Drosophila melanogaster: one gene and its partner. The protein of the gene in region 1 interacts with the protein of each later gene in a pairwise test. Each region holds a gene or a part of one and is shown on either strand. Other genes may lie near its edges.

Region 1 (4,718 bases):
CGTGCCCATGGCTAAATATAAATGAACTAATGCCAAATGCTGACGTACTCTTCTCCGTGTTTTATCCCTAAAAACTGACGCAAATGGCATTGCAAGTACAGGAATAATGGAGCCGTGGATAGCGGGTTGGTGGGGCAAAAACCACGTGCCGAATGCGACGCATGTTTTGAGTCGAGGCGAAAACAAAGGCACGCACACTTCAAAATCGAGTAGTACACCATACTGGACTTACTTGAAACATGTGAGGTAGCAAAGTGTCGCAATTACTTTTAAACTACAAACTATTAATCACTGAACGATGCGGTTTGTACAAGTTGGTCGAAAAAAACTTGTACTTTGTGATTTCACTTGGATGCAGCCGCTGCTCAGAAAATGCAAAAGCTGAATGAATCAGAACGCTTTTGAATTGAATTTAAGCGAGGGAAGTTGAGTTTCTGTTTATGGAGTTGTTTGGTGCGAGAGAGCAAGAGATAACGCAGAGGAGAGTTGATTTAATCAAGCTGAAGCATGGATACCCTTACGTTACAAGACAATAAATGTATCTTTTGGTTATCTGGTTATTTTATGGGGTAGGAAACGCATCCCTCTTCACACAGTCATAATACATATGCTTCGAAAGGGAATATCGGGGAGAGTAAAAGAGAACCGGCATATTTGTTTGTGTCGGTCACTCGTTTTGTTTTGTGGCGAAAGAGCGCCACAAAAGGGGAGCACAAACACGTGTGTCCAAAGAGTTGGAGAAGCAAGAAGCTCTTCCGTTTTAATTAGTCTCCGAATGTCTATTGGGTATATTTCTTATCCGAAAACTGTTGTTGCGTTGGCTCTCAAAACTTCCCCACACGCTTTTGCTGACACGTTTTTTTCTCGATCGCCATTGAGCTGTGCGAAACGTGAATTTGAGCAGTAAAAGAGAATGTCGACTTTAATGATTTTTCAGGTATGAAATATGCCCTCTAATTTTTTTGATCATATTTTTATTTTGTTAACATTCAACTTATTAATAAGAGTTTGCTGAAAATGTAATCCACTTAATTGTTTATCACTTAAAAATTTTTTAGGTAAAGTTCTCTCATATTGATTTAAAATTGCAATGTGAATAAAGTAACACTTCGTGTACCCCTTTTCCAAGTATAACCATTATAAACACAGGATCGTATGGCGCATAATTAATGGCTGTCTATTATTTTTGGACTGTTGCCAAGAGAGACCTACGCCTTAGAAGATTAAACTTCTTGTTTTTGTTTATGGGGCGCAAAACAAGTTTCAAATTTCCGACCGCAGACAAGGCGGGCGAGCGTAATGGAACCATATTACTGAGGTCAAAAGAACTTCGATTATATAATAAGGCCATGTATTCAGTATTCAAGATCAGAGACGCAATGGAAAATAACCTTTGACGTGTGCCAAGGAAAAGCTGCGGCTTTTTTATCCAATGGTACAAAAACCAACTTTGGAATTGATTCAGCCAATCATTGTAACGTAAATAGATTTTATCAACAAAGAGGTAAGAATGAGTACTTCGTGTATGGGGCTTAGCTGAATTTATTAGGAAAGTAGTTTGTAAATATGGTTATTTTTATGTAGATTTTGCTTTTGTTTCTTTTCATTTGTATTATCGAAACGAGTTAGGAAAATGTGTCGGTTAAGATTCCCAGATTCTGATATGTCGCCTTCAGGGAAACAAAGTCATCATGTCATCCAGTGGACATAATTGGAGGACCAATGTTAAGAAGAAGACTCCTCCTTAAAATGTTTAATAGGTTTTAATATGATTAAATAGTTATGAGTTGAGTGAAGTGGGTGTACCTGGGTAGTATTAAGGGCGTATCTAGGCAATATATGGCTCGCAGCAAGTAGCACCAATTCATTACGTCCCTATGTAATAGTTATTTATTCATATGCTAAACATTTGAACATTCGAACTTCGTTAGCAATTTTCGCGCTCTTTCCCCGAAGCCCTATCGATACGTCAATCGATAGGCGAGCTTTCAGAATTATCCGAATGCACCGCGGCGGTCACACTACGGAAAAACAAAAAAGAAATAGCGCTGGCAAAATAGACGTGCTGAGCGCTGTAAAAAGTCAGATTCGTGTTGAAATTGGAATAATAAGTTTTTTATTTTCCGTGCGCTGGTCGAGCTCGTTGCTTCGACAATTCGAAAAGCGATCGAAAGGAGCAACCTTGTAGGCCAACAGCCAGGCGTAATTTACGCAACGCACAACACTCACAAAATCCAAAATTGCACGGGGGGGCAACAATAAAAACAGAGGCAGAACAGAACACAGCAAGAAGAGCGTGGTGAAGAGGAGCGGCGGAGAAAGGAGAACGGTGAACAGGGAACAGGGAGAGAGCAGAAAGGAGAGTCCGAGAAACGGAGGAAACATCATGGCGAACATGGCAGTGTCGCGGATCAAGCGGGAGTTCAAGGAGGTGATGCGCAGCGAGGAGGTGAGTCCCGAGCTCCAAGGCCGAAGGACACTCAAACGGCACCTCGGCAATGCCAGCTGCACCACCGCCCCTGGTCGTGGTGCAGGGGGCGGGGGAGGGTGTCCGCGAACGTTGGTGGCGTTTTTGGCGCGCTTATGGGCTCCGTTTTCTTTGTGAAATGTAAACATTGGCCCCACTGATTTGTTAATTTGGCTTGTAATCCCTGAACAGATCGTCCAGTGTTCCATCAAAATCGAACTGGTCAATGACAGTTGGACGGAGCTGCGCGGCGAGATCGCCGGTCCGCCTGACACGCCCTACGAGGGCGGCAAGTTCGTCCTGGAGATCAAGGTGCCCGAGACATATCCCTTCAATCCACCAAAGGTACGTAATAGCCATGTCAGACTTTGTGCACCTATACAATATGCTAGCTTAGAAATAAACAACTCTTACATGAGTACACCTCATCTTTCAAAAATCGTATCTTATGACTTCACTTCGTAGAAAGTGACACTTCTATGAATCCACAATGTTAACTTGAATTCTGAAAGGCGCAATAAGAACCTGTAACTTGTAATTGAAACCTAAATAAATTGCAAACTTCTTCGCAGGTACGCTTCATAACGCGCATCTGGCATCCGAATATATCGTCGGTTACGGGTGCGATTTGCTTGGACATCTTAAAGGACAACTGGGCTGCAGCGATGACACTGCGCACCGTACTGCTGTCGCTGCAGGCGCTCCTGGCCGCCGCAGAGCCGGACGATCCACAGGACGCAGTGGTGGCCTATCAGTTTAAGGACAAGTACGATCTGTTCCTGCTTACGGCCAAGCACTGGACCAACGCGTATGCGGGCGGACCGCACACCTTTCCCGATTGTGATTCAAAGATCCAACGTCTCAGGGACATGGGCATCGACGAGCATGAGGCGCGCGCCGTGCTCTCCAAGGAGAATTGGAATTTGGAGAAGGCCACCGAGGGCCTGTTCAGTTAGCTTGTCCCAGCCGCACTAGCATCAGTACCATTCGCGGCGGTGGCAGCACCAAGAACACCGGCCAACTTCAGCATCAATCCTTCAGAACGGCAATCACGCTAAATTCTTGTACACTCACGCACCAATATATTTTCGTAAATCTTATCCACGAAATTACATTGCCCTGTAGTTATAATAATTCTCTGATCTGTTCTATAATTTTATTATGATTAATGTGCACATCTTTGCCGCTGGGTGGGTCACCAGAAGGTTGAGCCAAAGGCCATGCCCGCGCCCCATTGAGCATGTGGTGTTATGTAATTGAACCCAGGTTCTGTTTCATTAATTTACGTGCAGTCGCATTTACTTGCAGGCTCTTTCTTAAACAGTACTGTTGTTTTCCATTTCAAGCTTAAACTAAAACACAAACAAAAATGATTTACAAAACAAAATAAATGTGAAGGCGAGGAGTGTATAACAAATCGAAGTCTTTGTAAATTGCGTTAAGTTAATAAATAAATAAATAAAAATATTAATAAATGTCTAATGAGAAGTTATGATTTCGGTTTGTGAAGAAGAGGCTGCAAACTTAAAATAGATTTTTGTAAATCATGCCTAGACTGAAGAATGGAAAATGTAATTTACCCTAGATTGATTGAGATATGTAATGTATATTACTATAATTCTTGTTTAATCCATTTTTTAAGGCTCTGTCTAATGCCAAAATTGAAATAAAATCCAAATTCTTGGTGATTTACAAACCAAATAATTGCACAAAACGTGAAAGTAAAATAGAACCCATCGATATCATCCAGATATAATCATTTATATATATATTCTTCTACATATTCATTTAATTTTTCTACATTTCAATGTGAATATTTATGGTTTGCACTAAATATTTGACTAATAATCTGTCACTAAATATTTGGTCTACGATGCTTGCTGGCGAATCCAATAAGTTAATGACTTCACACATATAATACGAATTTCTACTTGTGCTTTTGCTTGGACATGACGGACACGGAGGAGCCACCAGTTGCAAGTGCGGATCCCAGGCAGCTGCTGTTGCTTTGAGCCACGGATGTGCCAGTGGCATTGGTTCCCTGGATCGTGTGATGGCTGTGACGTTGCTTGAGCATCTCCTTCCATTCGGACTCGAGTCGCACGTAGGAGCCACCAAGCGGTTGGGCATTCTGCACCAGACACTGATCCGTTCCGGTCTTTTTGGTCACATAATTGGCGACCTGTTTCATGATCTTCTCCTCGAAGTCGCGCTGATGATCCTGGTTGCTGCGCGCTGACAACTCGCCGGA
Region 2 (3,374 bases), 5.4 Mb from region 1:
ACTAGCATCAATTGGATACCAAAACTGAGCGGGTATACAAACTGGAGTATGAGCTAAAGGATTGCAAAGAAAAACGGAATGCCCTAGAGCAGAATGTGAAGGACCTGGAGGATCAATTGCGGTAAGTGTGAGAATTGTTTAGTTTGTGCTTCAGAACCCGATACCAAAGAGTTTCAGAATAATTGACCTATTTACAACTCAATTTTTCTGCTAAAATGAAAAATATGTTATATTTCATTTCTAGACTCTATATTGTTAGTCTTTCAAATTCTTTTATTTCCCTTATCGTGATTTTCCTTAAATACAACTCGTACATTAGTCGATGTAATACATTAATGGCACTGTCTCATCCTATCGAACACGTTAACCGAATATTTCTAAAAACCACCTAAAAGAGAACAAAATGGTTAATTGAATAACAAATGATCGCATCGATCAATAAACACTGAGCATGCAAACACAAAAACAAAGGGTAATGGAGGTAATATAGGGTAAATTAGGTGGGCATGCGGTGAAAGAAGAATAAAAGTCATCACAACCGGACAGAAAATAGCTTGAAGATTGGGGATTTTAGGTGGTCCCACCAAGGTGCAGATCATTGAGAAACTTCGAGTTGAGTCGCTCGTTGGTTAAATACCTCGCCAGGCTGACACTTGGAGCGCTGCAGTTGCTCATGCCGCGTTGATCCGACTCCGAGGGCGTATAACCCGGTCGGCAGACGCACTTGGCCCGACTGGCGTGGACCAAAATTGAGGTGCCATTCGTGGTTTGCGATTTCAGTGGCTCTAGCCACTGACCCGCGCCGCAGGGTCCTCGGCTATACAGCTTGTGGCACTGCCCATTGATCTCCACCATTCCGGGCGTGGACTCGCATATATTCTGTTCCTTATCCGCTCCATCTCCCGTGCACTGCTGATCCAGATTGGTGAGGACACCGGAACAACCGCACATTCCATTGTAGGAGATGCCATCGATGGATGGCCTGGCGGTGAAGTCGAAGATCACCACCTGATGTAGGGCACACGGGCCTTGAGATCCAATCCTGTAGCAAGAATCTTCCGCTGGGAAGTACAGGCGATTCTTGCCACAGAAGTTGCGCACACAGCTGGTTCCGTTGACCAGGAACTCATTGGGTCCACAGGGACCCCTTGTGTACAGGCGATAGCAGATGCCATCGCTCCAGGGCACATAGCCCTCCTTGCACTGGCACTGGGCACGAGGCAAAAGCTGCAGGGTGCTGCCCGTTGTCTCCTGGACCTCGTCGGGTATGCGAAAGATGTGACCAGGTGGACAGGGGCCAGGAGTGTCTGAAAAATAGGAGAACATTAAATACGATATAGGAGAAAATTATGTTGAGATAGAATTTCAACATTTCCAAGGCGGTAATTGCAAATTAACGGGCTATGTAATCCCAATCCTACCCAGCTCATAGCACATTTGATGCGGAGCATGATAGTGCGGCAAGTGCCGCTGGCAGTCGCATCGACCGCCGGGCAAGAAGATGTGACCCGGCGTCGAGCAGGGTCCTTTGGTGTAGTGCTCATAGCAAGACTCCTCTGCCGGATAGTAGAACGAGGCCAAGTCGCCCACATCCTCGCAACGGCACTCGGCCAGTCCCTCCTCGTTGCGAACGAGGAGTTTACCCCGGCTGCATGGACCCTTTGCATGCCTCGCATAGCACTTGTTGTCCCTCGGCCAGAAGAGCATGTCCTCCGGGCAATGCAGCGGTCGCTTGCACGTACCCCAACGGTTGCCGGTTGCGGTTCTGGAAAGGATTTGCCTATAGTTTAGTTAACTTTTAAACATTTAATTGATATATACGGCACACATCATCCTATATCAATGATCGCCTTGAAGTGAGAAAGTCTGATAGATAATTGTTGATATCACATGAACTGTTAAGATTACTTCATTTTATTTTGAGAAGACATTAGACTTAAACAAAATTACCTGCGCTAGAAACACACACATCGGAAACAATGTCGGCTGATACTTTCGTAATGGACACCAAGGATGAATCGTTCTACGAGTGTAACATATGTCTAGACACCGCCCAGAATGCCGTGGTCAGCATGTGTGGCCATTTGTTTTGCTGGCCATGTCTGTACCAATGGATATTGACGAAACCCGATCACACAGTGTGTCCCGTTTGCAAGTCGGGCGTGGATAGGAGCAAAGTAATACCGGTGTACGCACGAAATGATAAAAGGCAGGAGGATCCGCGGGATAAAACACCGCCGCGTCCAACTGGAATTTGGTCGGATTACGCAAATGATCTCGAGTTGGGACTATTTTCGTACTTGCTTTTTGGTTTATTCTTTCCATATGGTGCCCTATCATCTTATCTGGATATGGACGAGCCACTCAATCCTGCTGCTGATCACGGCATAAGGGATGGGCAGAACGAAACACTCCTTTCTAAGTTCTTTCTCTACGTGGCCATTATGCTCATTATTTATATGATTGTAATTTAGCAAGAATAGGAATAAGATCAAAATAAACCATGATGGTGCAAATGAATCAGTATAACCGGGAAGATGTCGTCCTTTACAAATTATGTTCAGTGAAGTTTTCGGATAATTAGTCATTAATCTTTTTAGTATTGTGTAGCATTATGTAAAACAAATGTAATGAAAAGTAAATATTCAAATGCACTAGGAAACAAAACTGCATTTCATGTTTTAAACACGACAGGTTGTGTCGTAAAAGTAAAAACTGTATGTGAATGTACATACATAGGTTCTTGATGAACTTTCGTTATGCATAAAAACGAGATATCAAAGTAGAATGCTTCCGTTATTGCTTAAGTGCACCAGAACTTTCTCTTAACTCTTGATTAATGTTGAAACCCGAGTTTCGCAATCGAAATCAAAAGTTTCATACGACTAGAGAACAACCTGTAAACCTTCAGTGAAGTGAAAATGCGAACATGGCAGTTGCTTAATTCAAATAGTTTGAGCTAAGAACCGAACTCAACTCACCTCTTGACCTGATCCGGCACGGGTTGGAAGTACTCCTCGGGTTGGCAGGGTCCCCGTTCGTATAGCTTGTAGCACACATTATCGTGAAGCGGACTGAGTGCAGTTCCCGGAGGGCAGCGGCACTCGGCTGCAGGTGCATCCTTACGCTTGGCACTCACTGCGGTGGGACTGAGCTCCATGGTGGCCGGACATGGATAGCCGAGGGTGAAGATCTTGAAGCACTTCTTCAGAGGTGCCCAGTACAGCAGCTGCCAGCCACCGGACATGCTGGCGCACGGATTCTGTGCGGGATCACTCCACGGAGGCGGCACTATTCCGGCTGCCACCTGCTGCGGATTCTGGCCGGTGGTCAGTAGGAGGAGCAGGCAGGTGAGGATGGAGCTGCCCGCCTGC

Evidence for each region.
Region 2: the proteins of Ubc4 (region 1) and CG32847 interact in a two-hybrid assay, tested with the Drosophila melanogaster proteins (one large-scale study listed by BioGRID).

The regions. Positions count from the first base shown.
Region 1 is NT_037436.4:9,696,307-9,701,024, forward strand, and holds Ubc4 (ubiquitin conjugating enzyme 4), read left to right. Parts: upstream 1-2,029; 5' UTR 2,030-2,386; coding exon 2,387-2,449; intron 2,450-2,659; coding exon 2,660-2,812; intron 2,813-3,039; coding exon 3,040-3,423; 3' UTR 3,424-4,175; downstream 4,176-4,718. Other genes in the region: CG6761 (uncharacterized protein), read right to left, coding at 4,395-4,718. UniProt on the Drosophila melanogaster protein: Catalyzes the covalent attachment of ubiquitin to other proteins.
Region 2 is NT_037436.4:15,119,643-15,123,016, forward strand, and holds CG32847 (uncharacterized protein), read left to right. Parts: upstream 1-1,929; 5' UTR 1,930-1,979; coding exon 1,980-2,474; 3' UTR 2,475-2,659; downstream 2,660-3,374. Other genes in the region: Cep135 (centrosomal protein 135kDa), read left to right, coding at 6-121; CG16959 (uncharacterized protein), read right to left, coding at 571-1,307, 1,422-1,765, 2,982-3,374.